Linked DNA regions of Saccharomyces cerevisiae S288C. The gene in region 2 interacts genetically with the main gene of each other region. Each region holds a gene or a part of one and is shown on either strand. Other genes may lie near its edges.

Region 1 (3,136 bases), on a different chromosome or scaffold from region 2:
TTGAACAGAATGCATCTGGATGAGGTCGTTCCTACATCAATACTGGCGATAAGCGGGACGTAGTCACTTCGTAAATCTTCCATTATTTTGGACATACGGCTCTGTTCTTGTTTTAAACTAGTGTAAAGGCGCTGGCTTGATCGGAATATGTAACGTTTGGAGAATACTACAAGTCGGAAGAGAGAGGGAAACATATAACTATTTGTATAGTTCCGGCCACAACTCAAACCACATGGTATATTTTATATGGTTCGAGAACAGGCATCCCCCCACATTTTATTACACCTTATCCGTTCTAAAAGTCTTGGCTGTCTTTTTTTCCTTTCCTTTTCCTTTTTTTTTTTTCAATTTTTTTGTCAATGCAGTCAGCCCCTCACTATGCTACTCCACACCCTTTAATTGATGGTTTTACTCCAATTAGAAGAGAAGAATTACGAAATGGCCTGTATGGGTAGATTCTTGTTATGTTTTTACATACGTTGTTTAATAAAAGTCGTTATTTACCATGTGAAAAACAAAAACAGTATACAAAGGGTGGTTATCGTGGCCAATACAAACGCGTTTTTCTTCCTTCTCGTGTTAATCTTCATAATAAGCTGATTGACACCTGGTATTCTTTGTAAAGTTTGCAACACCTTGTTGTTTGCCGTGTTCAGCACGTTGCTCTGCGAGTGGAACTGCGACCGAGTCTCCCAGGCTTGGGAGATGAGACGGTCGACTACGTTGTTGGACTGATCGATTCGCCTTGTTTCGTTCTGAATGTACTCGTCAGCATCCCCTATAGGAGCTGGCGCGTCCGTTGTGGAATTAGCAATATCGTTCTTCACGCTGAATAACAAGTTTAGTCTGTTGCGCTCTTGCTGGATGGAGGACCTGATATTGCGGAAGCTCTTCCAGTGGTCTTGTAAGATCTCCTTGTGGCGGTGCAGTTGGGAAAGCTTTGAGGCGGAGATTGCCGGGTTAGAATCGCAGATTTGTGTTAATGAATCGATTACATCCTGTCTCTGGCCTAAGATTCCCTCCAACTGCTTGTCTATCTTCTTTTCTTGGCCAGTTTGTTCTGAACTAGTTGTCTGCGCGAATGTGGAGTACTTGGAAAGAAGTGACTCCGTTTGTGTTTCTAGAGAAATGGCCTTGCCCCTTATGGTGACGAAAGACGGTTGTGAGCTCATGTGGTGTGGTTGCTTGTCTGGAATTGGGCTTTTCCCTGTGTCTAGTTAGTTTATTTTTTCCTTGTCTTTTTATCTCTTTTTTTTTGTTTTTCGTTCTCTTTATTTTCAACAACGCCTAGAAAATTTGGTTACCAACCACACTATTGAACAAAGATAACTAACTGATTGAACAAGAGTAGGCGTCTTACACTGGGTTTGCAAGTGTCATTGACTTTTGTTGCATTGCTGTGAAATGCACATTCGGAGCAGTTGAAGGTCTCTTGCTGAATGCTCACATATTTTCAAAATATTGTTTTGGCTGCGGAGTTTGTGCCTGATCAGTAACTACCAATCTCGTGAGATTTTTCATAAGCATCTTTGAAAGCTTTTATACTTATTTGATCTTTGTATATATCAGGTTTTACCAGTTTAGCCGCCAGAGTTTTGGTATTTATGTGTTACCCGGTATATCCATATGCCTTTTCTTGGTGGCAAAAAAAAGGTACTTCCTGATATAAAGAAGCTGGTAAGCTCTCGATAACTGATCTCTTTGTCTTTGTGCAGGATTGGATAATACAATAATTATAGAAAAGTTTCTATTTCACCACGAACAACATTATGTCCATTTCTTCTGACGAAGCGAAAGAAAAACAGCTCGTGGAGAAGGCAGAATTGCGCCTGGCTATCGCAGATTCCCCTCAAAAGTTCGAAACTAATCTGCAGACTTTTTTGCCTCCATTATTACTAAAACTCGCCTCTCCACATGCCTCCGTTAGAACAGCAGTATTTTCAGCCTTAAAAAACCTCATTTCTAGGATAAATACGCTGCCCCAGGTTCAGCTTCCTGTGAGGGCGCTTATTGTCCAAGCAAAGGAACCCAATTTAGCCGCTCAACAAGACTCGACCAATGTCCGCCTTTACAGTCTGCTACTGGCGTCTAAAGGCATAGATAGGCTTTCCTTGCAAGATAGACAGCAGTTGCTACCGTTAGTCGTTTCGAACATCTCGTGTCTAACAGGCACAGTAGCCGCCAGAATGTTCCACATCCTTTTGAAGCTTATTTTGGAATGGGTTGCACCCCAGGAGTCTTCACATGAGCAGGAAGAATTTGTTCAGTTCCTTCAACTGGACAACGACGGTTTTTCGTTTTTGATGCGCCAATTTACCAGGTTTTTTCTGCTGGTACCTTCAAAGCAAGTCCAGGTTTCTCAACAGCCCCTGTCGAGAGGTTACACATGTCCGGGCCTATCTCTAACTGATGTGGCATTCTTTACTTATGATGCGGGCGTTACTTTCAACAAAGAACAGCTGAATAAGTTCAAAAAGGCTATTTTTCAATTTGTTTGCCGTGGCATGGCGGCTACCCAAACTATTGAGCAGTCACCTAGGATGATTGAACTGATGGAATTTTTGTGCGTTGTCTCTACGGATTCTACAAATTTATCTGATGATGCGGCTCAGTTCATGAAACGGTTTCCCATGCCTTATGAAAACGAAGAGTTCATCACCTTTCTTCAGACGCTGTACATCGGCAACACAGCAAATGGAAGACCGCCGGTCAAGGCTATCTTGCAAGAAAAAATCCTGTCCATATTAAACAGAAGTCACTTCGCCACCACCAAAGCAGAATGTATTTCGTTGATTTGCTCTATTGGATTGCATTCATCTGAGTATAAACTTAGATCTTTGACTCTTTCTTTTATTCGACACGTAGCAAAATTAAATTACAAAAATTTAAATCCTGCTTCTTCATCACCTTCATCAACAGACTTTTCCACTTGTATTGTTTCCTTGATTAGAAATAATCTTCATGCCGAAGGTTGGCCGAAGTTACAATTGGGGCCTCAGACCCCAGCTTTCAATACAGCCATTCTGCAGAGACAGCTGCAATATGAAACATTGGGTGATATCTTGAAAAGAGATTTTGAGCTTGTAAGTGACTTATCCTATATTGAATTTCTATTCGAGTCCTTGAAAAATGACTT
Region 2 (5,291 bases):
TAGTATAAATTATAGAATATTAGTTTTCGTAGCTTGTAATGTATTTGAATTGGAACCATCTAATTGTTATCTGCCATTTTAGTATTTTGGACAAGCTCCAAATATGTGGTCCTAAGTTCATATCGAGGATACAGATTATTTGGGCCGTATCTTTGATGTCATGGAGAGTAGTGTGGCCTTCCAAGTCCTGGGGCAGCTATTAATTAGGGAATGTTTTGATCAACAACTTAGTGTTAATAGTAGACACAACGATGTGAACTGTTCAATACATCAGCAAACATTCTTAGTTTTTCTCATATTTTATGTTTACTTATGTTAACCTGCATTATTTCCATAAATAACAAAAGGCAAAAAAGTAACAAATGAAGTTATTAGGAAACAATAAAAAAACAATATCGAGAAAAAAACGACTGACTACATTTAAAGTAGAACGTCCAAGTAATAAATACATGTATATATTCAATAGAAGTAAATTTTAGGATGCTACAAAACGAATTCTTATCTATCTTTGTTTTCTAATCTTCCATCAGTAACTATTACCAATTAGACTATGTATATTTTCATTCTCATTTTCTAATCTGTTGATATCTTGCTCTAACCCCTTTATAGTCAATTCAAATTTATTGGCTTCGCGTATCCTGTACTCCTTTCTTCTAAATCTATCCTTTTCTCTTTTACTCAAAAATTGAGTACTGAACTTTTCTATCTCTTCTGCGTTCTGATCGACCTCCTTTTGTAACTTCTCGTTTCTCGCGTTCAATTTGTCCAGTTTAGAGCCTAGTTGAACTAATTCTTGATTGACCTTTTGGAACCTCCCTTCTGAGTTTTTCAGGTCTTTCGATAAGCTTTCTTCTAACTTACTGAACTCTAATTGATTTTTCAAGTGTAGATCTTTCTTTTTCAAGTATTCCTCTTCTAATTCAAGCTCTTTTTCAGTGAGAGTTTTCAATTGCATCTCTAACTTATTTACCGCAGTCTCACTTTGCTGTAGGGCAACCTTCAAATTTTCGACTTTTAAAGTGCTCTTTTCGTCATGTGTTGCGTTCTGTGAAATCCTGCCTTTAAAATAATCAATTTCTTGTCTCAAAAGACTTAACTTCTTGCTGAATTCCTTTTTTGTCTTTTTCAATTTTGTCCTTTCATCGGACAAATTTGCGTTTGTAGTTAGCACGGAATGCTTCAGAGTTAGCAACGGAGATAAGAATTTCCTATGGTAGTATGAAGGGAAGCTGAAATCAAGGTTTTCAAATTTTCCGGCAATCGCATTGTTATTCCCACAAGTCCTTACAATTAAATCAGAAACCAAATAATCATCTCGGTGATTTAGTCTGTTGATGAATTGAATATCATAAGAACAAGAAGGGACTAATCCGTTAACGACAACGTATTCTTCGCCTACATGCTCTAAAATTAAAGCGCAAGAAACTTCTGACCAGATAACACCGTTTACTAAAACAATGAGTTCGCCATCATGTAAATTTTCAATATGGAATGTAATAGAGTTTGTGCTAATATCAATAATGCAAACTTTGTAGTCATTATCATTTCTATTGAAAATATTTTCATTGGTGGAAACTAAATTTAAAAGATTGTAGTCATCAGATGTTGTCTTTGCAATCAGGGCCATAGTATTTGAAGGTTCGAAATTGTTAAACACGCTCTTCTTAAACTTTCCGGCATGGGTGAAACTAATTCTTGATGAAACTGAATGTGTATTAATCGTGTCCAAATCTTTGTCATGTTTTTCCTGATTACTGACGTATGAAGTATTCGAATTTGTTGGTGTTAGTGAATTTTCAGAGGTTTCTTGTAAGTATTTTTTTTCAAAATTCGTTGTTTTTAATGTAACTACCATAGACCAAAGAGGTGCAATCAAGTGTTGATTCTTTCTTCTGAATAGAAGACGGATAAAATTTTCCAAGTTTGATGTAACAGATATGTCTGAAGATAATTTGCTAGAAGAAAACATGTTCCCAAAATCAACATTCAGTTCAAACAGTTGGTTAGTATACTTGTCATTGGAAGGGGAAAAGAAATCAGAATCCTTTTTCGAATTTCCATTCGAGGAATCAGATAGAGAGATTTCATTTGACAAACTAGTGTTATCACCAGAAAAGTTGAACGTTGTAGGAGAGGTTGTTGTACTGGTAGTAGTAGTAACGGCTTGAGAATTGCTTCCTTCAGCAGAGATTACCGATGGCTGATATGACTTATATTCCTTGACCATAGAAGTGAAATAGGGAAAACTAGAAGTAGCATCAGTAGGATAAGAGGCGGCAGGGTTCAAAATATTACTGTGTGATGATAGGGGAACTGGCGAGTTATTTTGTTGGGATGGATGGATAGTTTGATTGCTGCTGCTAAGTCCACCTGGATCGTTCGGTATCATAGGACTTTGGTCCTCTAAAGTGTTCGAATCGGCAGAAACGGAAGAAGAAGAAGAAATTCTCATCTTTTGCAGACCTTGAACACGGGCTACATCTGGTTTAGTTGAATTGAAACCCTTTTTCAATGGCTTGTTTTCCGCTGTTTGTCTATGAGGGTGTAATAAACTTGAAGCAAATGAGAAAAAAAGGATGTGAAAGGATAGATAATAAATCATACTGTCTGAATGTTTGCCAAGCATCTTGAAAGGCATTGGCAAAAATAGAGAGAAAAGCTTTTTGAAAAACTGTGAATACTTGCGAAAAACCGTGAATAATTTAATTGATTGGCCGGTTCCTCGTAAAGACATATCAAATAACTGTATAATGTCAAAGAAGTGTGACACTCTTTGAAAAGTGTTAGTTGACACAGCATACAATACTGAGCATGAAGTTGCATAGCTTAAGCAATCGCTTGGATCATTGATCAAAAATGAGGCAATAATAGAAATTGCCAGATTTTTTATTGGCTTAACAAAATAATCGCCACCGTAAATCTTTAGTAACATTGCAAATAAAATTTCACAAATTAATACGGGGATCGGAATGACGAAGCTATTTTTTGAATTGCCAAAAAATCGTGAATTAGATTTTCGGTTTGAACTACCATTGGTCACTTTGGAAGTACTTATATCTATGTGCGCCACTTCACCGATATGGCGGGAAGGTTTTTTCGATAGGAAAAGTATAATAAAACAATTTGCCAGAAAATCTTTGCATTTGGTAGCAACAATAAAGGAAACCAATAAACATAGGGAAGTGAAGTGGTTAAAACTCAAAAAAACCAGGAACAATGCAAGCGTATCTTTAAACCTATGTTTTTTGGCAAATTCGGTGGGCTGTTCACTCCTTTTAGTGTTCATTAATGACTGTAGATGTGATACTTTCTTCTGATTAGTAAATTGTTCCTCCATGAAAATTGTGCATGGATCCTTTTATGTAACGGAGATAGGTGGAATCTTAAAAAATATTGGGGTGTATATGAATAAAAGTTATTCAGAGTGATTACCTAAAGAGATGGTACGAAAAATGTGGAGATAGAAAACAAAAAACTTTGGTAAGATATTATTATAACAGAAAGAATTTAAAGTTTTCTCTGCTGGTACTCTGTATAATCCTCTTAGTCCTAATAAAATTTGTTTATTCCTCTTTTAATAGAAACTAACGAGTTGTGAAAACCTAGTTATGTTACTTGTTATATTACACCTTCAAGAGGTTTAGGAATTCAACGTTATAAACACACAACTGCATAAGTTAGGCTACTTTTTTTTTTCAGATTGTCCGTATAATGCGATAATCGTTGAGTTCATGCCGATCTAAGTACCGAATTAGAAAAAAATGTGTCAAAAGTAGGCAGCCAATCTGTTTTGCTGCCATATTTTTCCTAACAGGATTTGCTATGTATGAAGTACGATAAGTATGAAATATTAGTGCTTGTACATACGACCAATTTGTAATAACTAGTGATGTAGAGAATAAACTTAAAGAAAACTTATGAATAAATAATTATGGAGATATAATTACGAATAATTATGAATAAATAGTGCTGCCTTAATTGGCACTTGCAATGGACCAAGTCTTGGCATAACCTTCAAGGTCAACAGGTTCCCAAGGAACTCCCAAGCATTCTGCAATGACTTTACCCAAATCTTCGTTTAGCAAACCAAAGTATTGCGTAACTCTCTTTTTGACTTTAGGATCTTTGATCTTACAAGCGTGGCAAACAACGTTATGAACGAATAATTTCTTCTGTTCATCGTTGTATACCTTTTCATATAGAGCTCTTGGCTGTTCGAAGTCTAGTGGACTAATACCATAAACGTAGTAATATTGATTAATTTTGGCATCAACAATATGCTCGTTTCTGATTTGGTCTTGTTCCTGTTTTCTCACAGAAACTTCTGTTACTTCGTCAAGAACTATCCCTTTGAACTTATCAGATACTTCGTCGTTGTCTTCATTTTTGAATTTCAGAGTTTGATTTGGTAAACTGGAAATATAATTTGGCTCAGGACCGAAATTGTAGTAACTCATTGGGCCGTCCCTTTGGAAGTTCACTGCTTTAAATGGACACTGTTCGGCAGTGTATTGGGAATCACCTTTGGAGTATGGACATCCCAAGTTTCTTGGTCTGTTGACGGGCAATTGCTGATAGTTGGCTCCCAATCTATGACGTTGAGTGTCTGGATAGGAGAAAAGTCTGGCTTGTAGAACGGAATCATTAGAAGGCTTAATACCTGGGATACAAGTGTTCGTTGGACTGAATGCAACTTGTTCAATTTCTTGGAAATAATTGTCAACATTCTCCGTTAGGGTGATGGTACCAAATTTTCTCAAAGGGAATTCCTTGTGTGGCCATATTTTCGTTAGGTCATTTACCGAATACCTGAACTTAGTTGCTTGTTCGGGTGTCATTGTTTGCACATAACAGTTAAATTTTGGCTTTTCGCCATTTTGCAATTGAGTGAACAGCTTTGCCTGATTATAATCAGGGTGGGAGCCTGACAGTTCAGCAGCCTTATCTCCAGTCAAGGTTTCAAAACCAGTATCCGACAAGACGTGGAATTGCACATATGTGTCCTTACCTTCTTTGTTGACCATGATGAAGGAATGACCAGAGTACGCGTTCATACTAGCCCACGAAGCAGGAGTACCTCTATCACCAAACATGTAAGTTATTTGATGGATTGATTCCGGATTCAATGTTAGATAATCCCAGTATATGGTAGTGTCCTGAAACTGATTCAGATGAGACTGAGGGTCTCTCTTTTGCGAATGAATAAATACGGGAAACTTAATAGCGTCTCTGAGGAAGAAGACGGGAGTATTGTTGAAGACCCAGTCATGGTTCCCCCACTCGGTATAGAA
Region 3 (3,707 bases), on a different chromosome or scaffold from region 2:
TACACTAACCTGATTGTAGGTTTATTTATATATATAATATCAATAGCTAGCAGTTTATTAAACGACCTGAAATGCAGTTTCTTCGATCACCAGATAAGTCCGATTATCCTTTTGTTTTCGATTTTCTTGAGGACCGGTGTGATATCCACAATCACCCTAAAACTAAAACAAAGCCATATAGTCTTAAAACAACGGAACAATCCATAACAAAAGTATATTAAATTATCTCATATGTTCAAGATTATGAGGTCCTAACAGATAACTCTTCCAGTTCATACTCAAACACCTGAAGGCGTGGCGGGCTTTTACCAAAAATGGATAAACCTCGGAAGGCCTTTTCAATCCCCTGTCTTGGCGGCGGTGTTATAATAAACTATTGTGGGGATAATAGTGATTTTCATAACGTAAAAATCGTTTACATATTGTTCAAGGGTTATAGAATAGGACATATAACAGAATACATATCACCGCAATCTCCTCTTCCTTAATATACATGGGACGAAAAGCGGTGTCCATGTTCTTATTCAAGCTGATTGAATTTTACATTTCCAGTTATCAGCTTTCAACAATGGTAATGACGCACCTAAACACCAACCGATTTCTTTATTGGCAATTTTCTTTCCAGTTCTCAATTCTCTTTGTAATGGAATGTCATATCCCGTATGTAATAAGGACACTTGAAAAGATAAGTCCAAACAGAAGTGCGAGTCACTTTCCAATTCATCTAGGGACCCCGCAATGCCACTGAAGACACTATTCCAAGTTTCTTCGCCTTTACACACTATTCTTGCCAAATCGTTCAATTCATTCAAAGTAAAGGACAAGGGCATACCCAATGGACGGGTTCTGTCGTAGAAATAAGAGAAAATATAGATATCGTTCGATTCTTTGAATGTACGAACTAAAGAAGGTTGGTGAACCCCATTGAAAGAGCATGGTGGAGACTGGCACTGAGCATCTTTATTCAAAATTTCATCAGTCAGAAATCTACATTGTGCACCACTTGGCTCGTCCGGCCCTATAAAGTCAATGGTATAAGTTTCCTTGGATTCTAATGTAACCTTTTCATTTGTGGCATTAACTTTAGGCGGTAGGCATGGAGATGACAATTGATGAGTCTTAGTGTTATCACCCTTCAATATTTTGCCGTCTTTTAATGCATTTTCCACAAGAACAGAGTTAACTTTATTTCTTCCTTCCTTCAAACCGTAACCTAGATGAGAAAATTGGTACAAGGTGTAATTTTCATCACCAAACTTCAAATCAAATTTATGCTCACCATCGACCATTTTTTCATTTATTGGGAAAGTAGGCTCAAAAACAATTTGTGTAGACCCTCCGCCTAAGTCAAAAACGGCAGCAGTAGGTAACTTGGGGCCATTAGCACCGATATTACCTAATAGGTAGTTTGTAGTAATCCAGGCGAAGACACCTTCTTCATCACCGCCCATGATGGAAACACCATCACCTTCGACAACTGGGAAAGGATAGTCCTTCTCCAAATGATCCCTTACAGCGCTCAAAATTTTTGAAGATTTGGCATCACCCAAGAGTCTTAGGCCTGCAGTAGCTTTCACCGCAACGGGAGTACAACTTCTTGCCTTAATAGGGACATAGTTCATTGCTACTTTCAGTAATGGGTCAAGGGAGTTAGCGGCACCAACGGAATCGGTATCGAAAGAAGATAAACCAGGCTCTAACATGTCGAATTTTTCATCAAGTAATGTAGGTGGGGAAGTACAGACGTCAAACTTGTATATATGTACTCGGGAACCGGTAGAGCCGGCATCGATCATGATAACATACTTATGTTCTTCGCTGCATGTTTGACTTGTTTGTGACTTCACAGCATCGGCAAGCTCAGGATAGTTTTGTTCAGTCTTCGAATCTTGAAGGTAACCTGGTTCATCATTGACGGGCAAGATAGAGATGTCCTCCGGAGTTTTGGGAATACTAGCATTAGGAGTAACTGTACGTGCAATAGAAGGTGGACCGATGGAAGATGTTTTAATCAACAAAATGAGCATAATAACGGCAAAAGCACCGATAGCGAACCGGTAATTTCTAAAGATGGGCGCCATGTTTTTTGTGCGATGATGTCTTAATGTTTCTTCTCGAGAGGACCCTTAACTGTTCGCCAATAAAGATTGTTGATTGCAGTCCTTGCCCTTTTTATTAGTGCTTTCTCCTTAAAACCAAAATTAAATAAGCTTGTAAAAGAAACTGTTTTTATATTTGGAAAATCGAAGCACTATGCAAGGAATATTATTAATGTTGACAGTTATTTTTCATGTGTTATGTTTTTCATATTGAAGTTGTAAAAAGATGGGAAAAATGAAATTGAGACGAGACGCCAAAATAAAAAGAAAAAAAAAAAGAAAAAATGAGATTAATACCGTTACCCTATTGATGATTAAGAATAAGCTCAAACTGCTTTCATATATTATGTTTCATAATTTATATATCTACATATATACACGACCTGGAAGTATTATAATATTGTTCATGAGTCGTGACTGTGCGGGTTAAATAGATTATTCATACCGCTCTTGGACAACAGTTTTGACATTCTTCTACCGCTTGGACTAGTTGATGGAGTTGATGAATCTTGAATATCCGTGTCCGCATTAGCAGGTGATGATGCAGACTTGTGCTTAAACTTGGACCATGCAGAAGAAATGCTGCTGTTACTTTGGTTCCTCTTGTGAGAAGGCTTAGGGCTTGGTTCTTTAGCGGGAACCTTTGGACCCACAGGCACATCGAGGTGATACTGCTCCTCCAATGGAGGAGAAAGTTGATTTGTATTTGAATTCCATATGGAGTTGAAAGGTGGTGAAGAGGCATGGAAAGATCTTCGTGTAATGTTATCCGCCGTTGGTTGATGGTTCATTGTTAATATGTTCGAGTGTGAAGGTGTTAAAGTAGTGTTATTGCCTGGAACAATGGGCACATCGTTTGAGAGTCGTGGGCTCAAGTTTGGCACCAATAAATTGAAGTCACTTGATATCCTTGGACTAATGTTCTCGGTTTCATTGCCATTGATATTGTTCTGTAAGGAGTTTGCAGGTTGCGGAGCACTGTAGAAAGAACCACTGCGTACAAAACTTTGTAATGAAGGATCATTCAATGTAGCGGCGAGTAGACTCTGTGGATGCATAGGATTCGTATTGGTTGCGTTGGAGGTTTGTCGCAAATGAGAACTAGAATATGGAGATATTACTGGGTTAGCCTTATATGATGACATAGGTGTTCCAGTCGTAGAGAAAAGACTTTCATTTGTGCTGCGCACCTGGGGTTGCTGCTTAGTCCAGTAATTGTCAAGTTCGTCTGTAGTAAAACCCTTGGAATAATTGCTTATGTTATCAGGATAGTCTGTTTCGTCGTAGATCATATTTTGCAAACCACTGATTAAGTGGTTTGCATTATCGTATTCAAAAGCTTGATCCAATTCTGTAGATACTTGTTGATGCGAAGGTTGAGCGAATTGTGCGGTGGTCCATAAATTTGACCTTGAGTGACCATTAGTTGCTGTTGCTGTTGCTGTTGCATTAGCAGTAGCAGTTGTAGGTAAAGCATGTGAATATGAAGAAGGCTGTTGCTTGTTTTCGTTGTTCGATGAGATGTGATTGGAGAGCATTGATCGATTATCGGTGTCCTGTGTCAATTGACTCAATAGACTGCTTGAAGGTTGTATGGGTTCATTCGAA
Region 4 (6,157 bases), on a different chromosome or scaffold from region 2:
ACGCCTTCAGATGGAGGTTCATCGGTCTCTAGTAATAACACTAGTAGAAACTCTAGCATTGTTGCATTGGGGACGCCCGACAATCAAAATATCTTGGCTCGTAAAGGCCATCTTTATAGTAATCGTGAATTAGATGTTTCTGCAGAATCTTTGACTAAAAGAAAGGCTAAAGCTCCGCCTCCGCCTCCTCCTCCTCCTCCATCAAGAAAATGTGGAACTCCAAAATAAGTAAAGCATTATTTCTTCTTGCATTAATGTGGTTCTTCCGACCATTTCTTCTTCTACTCACTGCAGTATCTAATGACACATTGTACTTTTTATATACAAATGCAACAATCGTAACTATAAAACTAAAGTTCGGGTTGCTTCCGAATACATGCTGGCAGAATTTCAGGTTGTGTGTCACTTGTTAAAATAGGCGATATTTTTTATTTTAGAAGTTGTATATAACTGTTAATTACATAGTCAGTTTTTTTTTTTCACTATCATATTGTTTAGATTAAAAGGACTTGTCACATGAAATTTAGGTCGAGCAGAATACAATCCCGAGAAAATCAATAGGCAAAATAGCATTTATACACGTATTCTTAATCCGGATGCAGGTGCACCGATCTTAGAAATCATAGCAATTCTATCTATTTTATCTTTTTCCGTGATAACGTATTTACTACCTGTTAATGGGTCAGAAACGGAAGGTGTATCTTCATAAATTGGTTTGTAGGTGGCTGCACAAATATCGAATTTAGCATAAGGATCAAAGTCAATTGGAATGGCGTCACTGGCCATTGAGTCGGCTTTGTTTTTGATTTTACGTGCTTGTTCTGCACGAGGACCAGAAGAAATAATCTTTAAAAATTCACCGGCAAAATATGAGGCCTGTAAGAAATTTTTGTGTTTGAAATGTTGGGACATAGCCACTTGTAAAGCATTGGTACGATGAATTGGGGATAGTTTTGCCTTTGTAAAGTATGCAGCTAGCTCAAGCATGCGTACAGTATTTCCCTCCTTTAATGAGCGGCGTTCCAATTCAATGGATAAACCTAATATATACTCCCTAGCAGTTTCCAGTATCTTGTGTGCTAATTTTTCATCTTCAGCATCATCGACCATTAATAGCGTAATACGGTAGATAGCTTCTCTGAAGCATTCGATTGCAATATCTGGTTTGTTTAGTTTAAAGTTTTTGTAACCCTCATTCATTTTTTCATTAACGACATCAAGACCTGGCACGTAAGGAAGAATTTGATCTTCACTTACGGTATCATCATACGCTCTGACATAACCTAATTGAGCAGGAAGTTCACAGGGCGTACTAGGAATGTATGTTCTACAACCCTCATAAATGTTGGTAAAATATTTCTTCAATGGCTCCAGCTTGACTACACCCACTTGCTTGCTCAAGGCTTGAACAGCGGCATCAAAGGCACCAGCGGCAACTAGGACAGCAGGCAGTTTAGAATTCTTGATCCAAATGGCTGTTTCAACTTCCTGTGCTGGAGAGGTAATTTCGCCTTGCTCAACTTCTTCAGGTAACTCTTCTCCCACATCCAAATCTTCGTCACCCAAATCCCAGGCACCTTCGTCTTCACCAATATCCTCATCGTTAAAGTTTTCTTCGCCTAGTGGTTCTTCTTGCTCTTGAGTGGTGTTTACTGCTGGAGTTTCATCGTCTATAGTCAAATCGTCAATTTGACCTAAAACAGCCTTTTCAAAGTAAGATAGTTCAGCCTCTTTTAATGGCCATTTTTCAAGTGGCTTTGAGATCACTGGTCTTTGAACGAAGTTGGAGGCATCCATCTGGTCTGGTAAAGTAACATCTTGTTCATCAACTTCAGCTTGCTCCAAGAAAGCAGAAGCAGCCGCTTCATCTCCGTTAGCCTTTGCTACGGCATAAGCTAATGGTAAAGAGCCGCCCTCTGCAAAAATGCTAGATCTTTCCTTGGTTGAATTGTTGTAAAAGGTGTTTAATAGCATACTTCCAAAGTCTTCACGAGTCTGAGCGATATTTTGCATTTTAGATAGTTTGTTAACGTCACCTGTAACTAAATACAGGAAGGAAAGTTTGTCAAAAGAATGTTGAGTTTGATAAATCATTTCAGCTAAGCTGGCATTACCTTGTGCCAAGGCTTCTTGGATTAATCTTTCCCAAGTACTAGAATCATTCAGTTTTTTGGCTTCATCTAAGGCAACATCCAAATTACCGTATTCCAAAGCTAAATCAAAACGGATATGTGGGTCTTGAACGAATTGTAAAGCAATTTCTGGGTAACCTGACTTCTGCAGATAGGAAATGATATTCTGGCCAACCAAATTAGAATCTTTTATCAGACGTAAAACTTCTGGGAAATTTTTGTTAACCAGGGCCTTTTTGAAGCGATATTCTGTAGGATCAATGGTTAAAATTTCAATCTCACCTTCACGGTTCAAGCAGTACACTAATTTTCCCTGAACTTTTGTGATATATAAAGTTTTCTCCAAAGTTTTAATAATACCTCTATCCCCGTTCAATAGTGAGTACCTTATATGATTTAAAGTTGAATAAATTAATACACCAGTTTCATCCCAAGCGGCACTTTTGATTCTAATCGTTTCATGCATAGAATTAATCAATTCTAGCTTTTTGGTAGCCAAAGTTATGGTGTGCTTACTCATCAATGCAACATATTGACCATCTAAGGACCACGAAACGTACTTGACGTTTTTAACAGCCAATTGGGATACTTTTTTGCCCTGTTGGACATCATAAAGAATAACTTCTCTGGGGTGTATGACCAAAACAGATCCAGGACCTGCAGCTACAATAGTTCTTACTGTTTCCTCTACTTTGATATTTCTTGTAACTTTGTTTTCGAGAGAGCGAACTTCAACAGATTCAGTGTTCTTGTTGTAAACAACAAATCTATTACGACCAACAAAAGTAGCAAAATTACCTGTATCTTGGGTGACACTTGTTGGCTCCACAGCTCCAACTGGTTGTTTTGGTAAAATAACGAGAGCAAATTTGCCATTAGCTTCATTAACCAAAACTGAATGTTGGGAGGGATTGTACGATATACTTCTGAATGCATCCCAAGGTTGACCAATACCCTTTAAGGACGCATAAGGTAATGAAGCGACTCTTTTCTGGAAATTGAAACTTTGGATTTGCTTTTCCGCATTGACAAAAAACAACTGGTTTTGATGGATAAAGCTGCATGGTCTTTCGCGATCGAGCTTGAAAACCATAATACCAGAATCGTGAGCTGCACCAAATAGATTGATATGAGGATGTGCTGCAATCAACCAAAATCTATCGTTTTCTCTTTTGAATTGCTTTACTGGAGTTCTCTTGTCAAGATCCCAAACCCTTAGCGTTTTGTCTTCACCGACAGAAATGATCAAGTTTTGATGTGGGTGAAAGATAACACTATCAACATTGTTAGTGTGACCTCTGCAAGTATCAACTTCCCAAGCTTTCGTAGCACTCATTCTCCATAATTTAACTTGACGGTCGTCACTGCCGGAGACAATCAATGGTAAAGTTGGATGGAAAGAGGCCCAGTTGACACCTCTTGTGTGACCCTCTAGAATAAACTTGACAACACAGTCACCAAGAGAGCCATCCAATAGATTTTGTTGTGCACTCATTTGCTCCTCAAATGAACTAGTACCAGGAGCGGAGTGTCTTTTCCTTAAACCGGAAATATCCCAAATTCTGATGGTTTCATCCAGAGAAGCGGAAACGATCAGGTCATCGGTTGGATGAAATTGAGCACACATGACAAAATGATTGTGGCCGGTCAAACATGCAATTTCCTTACGGTTTTGCCAGTTCCAGATTCTTATGGTCTGGTCATCAGAAGCAGATATGATCCAAGGCAGCTCACGGTGGAAAAACACGGTACGGACATAATCCAAATGCCCAGTTAAGGTGTATAGACATTTGTTAGTATCTAAGGACCAAACTTTAATGGTATAGTCGTCACCTGCCGAAACAAAAATCGGTTGGGTTGGATGGAAATCTAGCCCACGAACAGGGCCCTCGTGGTCTTCAAATCTGTGAAGTAGTGTTCCCATCCTGTAATCCCATAATTGAATAGTAGAGGAAAACAAAGCCACCAAAACCCAAGGTCTGGAGGGGTGGAAGGCAATGCCCTTGGCCCTAGTGGACTTTGATTCAAATTTAGTTAACATCTTCATCTTGATCCAGTAATGAAATGAACAAAGACACTACAGAAGAAAAAAAGTATACTGATTTCAGGTTAAATAAACCGCGAATTTGTAAACAGGTATGATAATGTTTTTATTCAAAAGTGTAAAGGGAAGATAAAATAAAAAGAAAAAACTTTATATCTTAAGCAAAGAAGGGGGTAAGTAACAAATGTTTGGAAAATCCTGCTGGTTTCGCCAATTCTATGATTTACCTAATTGCAATGCCTCTTCAAACAAGTTTGTGGTCCCTGTATGCTACTGAATCGAGGCTCAATCGTCACAGTCTCGAAGACGGATCTGTTATTTATTCAAGTTGGCAAATTGTCGATTTCGTTTCGTGTTGTCGAAATTTTCGGTCGCTCTGTACGTCGTATAAATGCTGACAATAAGAATAATAGTTAAGAGTACATACTAAATTATGTGTTACAATATACTAGATGAAGGCTCGTCAACGAGGCAAGCAATGGTTGGAACTACTCGTCCACAAGAGTGGCAGTTTTTTCGTCGAACTTCAATAGGCCTTTCCGCTCCTTTAGTTTGGCCTGTACTAGCACAAGTAGGTTGTATAAGATAGAAAGAGTGGGTGTAGCGACGCCGTTTCTTTTCGCGATTCTTATGGGGTTGCCTAGGATGACTTCTAGCTCCATCAATTGGCCCTTCTCGCAGTCCACGCACATGGATGGCTTGAACACCTTTTTCCTGGTAATCTCTGTAAACATCGTTATGAACTCCTCTTCGATAATGATGCCTTCACTCGCCGCAATGGCGATGATCTCCCTCATGGCAGGGTGGAACACTTCAATTTCTGTGCTCTTCTTGTTAACCCCAAACTCCAGGCAACGCGGAACGTCTAGCCCCACAAGTGCCGTGGATGTGTTGATAGCTGCATTGTAGAGCAACTTCTTCCACCGAGAGTAACGGACCCTAGGGTCAAATTCGACAAAGTTTTGCCCCTCGTTGCTGTACATCCTGACGAAGTCGTTGGCAGCCTGGATAGCAGCAGCGTCCTGTGGATCAAAAGCTCCACACGATAAGTGGTCCTGGCCCACTTGACTGATATGGCCTGACCCGATCTTAGTGGATCCGATTAACTGGATGCCAGAAAGCACCGTGTAACGATACTGCTCTCTGGGAAATTCCGCCCATATCTCCTTCTCAATATCGATTCCGTTCTGTACCAGTAAAATGTGTGTCGTCAATTGCGGCCCATGTAGCTCTTTATTCTTCTCAAGCACAGGTCTGATGATGTTGGACACCCTTGAATTAACGGGCCCATCTATGATGTTCTTGGTAGTCACTACAATATAGTTGTATCCTTGGTTGTCTGCGGCAGAAGCAGCGTCCTCGACGCTGCTGTAAATATGGTGGGGTCTCCAACCTTCTAACCGGCCATAGTCACATGATTCGATTGTGTAGCCATGCTTCAATACCCTATCGTAGTCAGATCTGACTACCAAGGAAACGTCGCTCTCCTTCTTAAGCCACAACGAAAGCGCAGTAATGACCCCAACGCCACCTGCCCCGATAACTAGTATTCTAGACATTTTCGACATTAGCTTATGCCAACTTGTATCCTGGCACCGGGACTGTAGTTTATGAGGTATATCAATATGTCCTAATTAAGGCTATATAATTTGGTATTACTATCACTTGCCACGGGGAAACTGAAATTTTTTTCGTTTCGCCACCAAGAAAGGCTAATTGAATACAGTTCAAGAGGTTGATATAGCTAAGTGGGCATGAAGGTTATGAATTGTAATTGGAGGTGCGGCAAGTGTGCAAGACGGGTAAAGGAGAGTATAGAACGATGTCTGCTAAAGTTCCATCTAACGCCACGTTTAAGAACAAGGAAAAACCTCAAGAGGTTCGCAAAGCCAACATCATCGCTGCACGTTCTGTTGCAGATGCCATCCGTACTTCATTGGGTCCCAAGGGTATGGACAAGATGATTAAGACATCTCGTGGA

Evidence for each region.
Region 1: mutations in NNF2 (region 2) and GOS1 together harm fitness more than expected from each alone (negative genetic interaction), as found in Saccharomyces cerevisiae (3 studies listed by BioGRID).
Region 3: mutations in NNF2 (region 2) and GDA1 together harm fitness more than expected from each alone (negative genetic interaction), as found in Saccharomyces cerevisiae (3 studies listed by BioGRID).
Region 4: mutations in NNF2 (region 2) and COP1 together harm fitness more than expected from each alone (negative genetic interaction), as found in Saccharomyces cerevisiae (3 studies listed by BioGRID).

The regions. Positions count from the first base shown.
Region 1 is NC_001140.6:38,315-41,450, forward strand, and holds GOS1 (Gos1p), read right to left. Parts: upstream 1,173-3,136; coding exon 501-1,172; downstream 1-500. Other genes in the region: GUT1 (glycerol kinase), read right to left, coding at 1-194; ECM29 (Ecm29p), read left to right, coding at 1,770-3,136. UniProt on the Saccharomyces cerevisiae protein: Involved in transport from the ER to the Golgi apparatus as well as in intra-Golgi transport. It belongs to a super-family of proteins called t-SNAREs or soluble NSF (N-ethylmaleimide-sensitive factor) attachment protein receptor.
Region 2 is NC_001139.9:655,006-660,296, reverse strand, and holds NNF2 (Nnf2p), read right to left. Parts: upstream 3,338-5,291; coding exon 527-3,337; downstream 1-526. Other genes in the region: CTT1 (catalase T), read right to left, coding at 3,975-5,291.
Region 3 is NC_001137.3:72,145-75,851, reverse strand, and holds GDA1 (guanosine diphosphatase), read right to left. Parts: upstream 2,082-3,707; coding exon 525-2,081; downstream 1-524. Other genes in the region: GTA1 (Gta1p), read right to left, coding at 2,504-3,707. UniProt on the Saccharomyces cerevisiae protein: After transfer of sugars to endogenous macromolecular acceptors, the enzyme converts nucleoside diphosphates to nucleoside monophosphates which in turn exit the Golgi lumen in a coupled antiporter reaction, allowing entry of additional nucleotide sugar from the cytosol.
Region 4 is NC_001136.10:193,998-200,154, forward strand, and holds COP1 (coatomer subunit alpha), read right to left. Parts: upstream 4,180-6,157; coding exon 574-4,179; downstream 1-573. Other genes in the region: LDB17 (Ldb17p), read left to right, coding at 1-228; YDL144C (uncharacterized protein), read right to left, coding at 4,665-5,735; chaperonin-containing T-complex subunit CCT4, read left to right, coding at 5,999-6,157. UniProt on the Saccharomyces cerevisiae protein: The coatomer is a cytosolic protein complex that binds to dilysine motifs and reversibly associates with Golgi non-clathrin-coated vesicles, which further mediate biosynthetic protein transport from the ER, via the Golgi up to the trans Golgi network.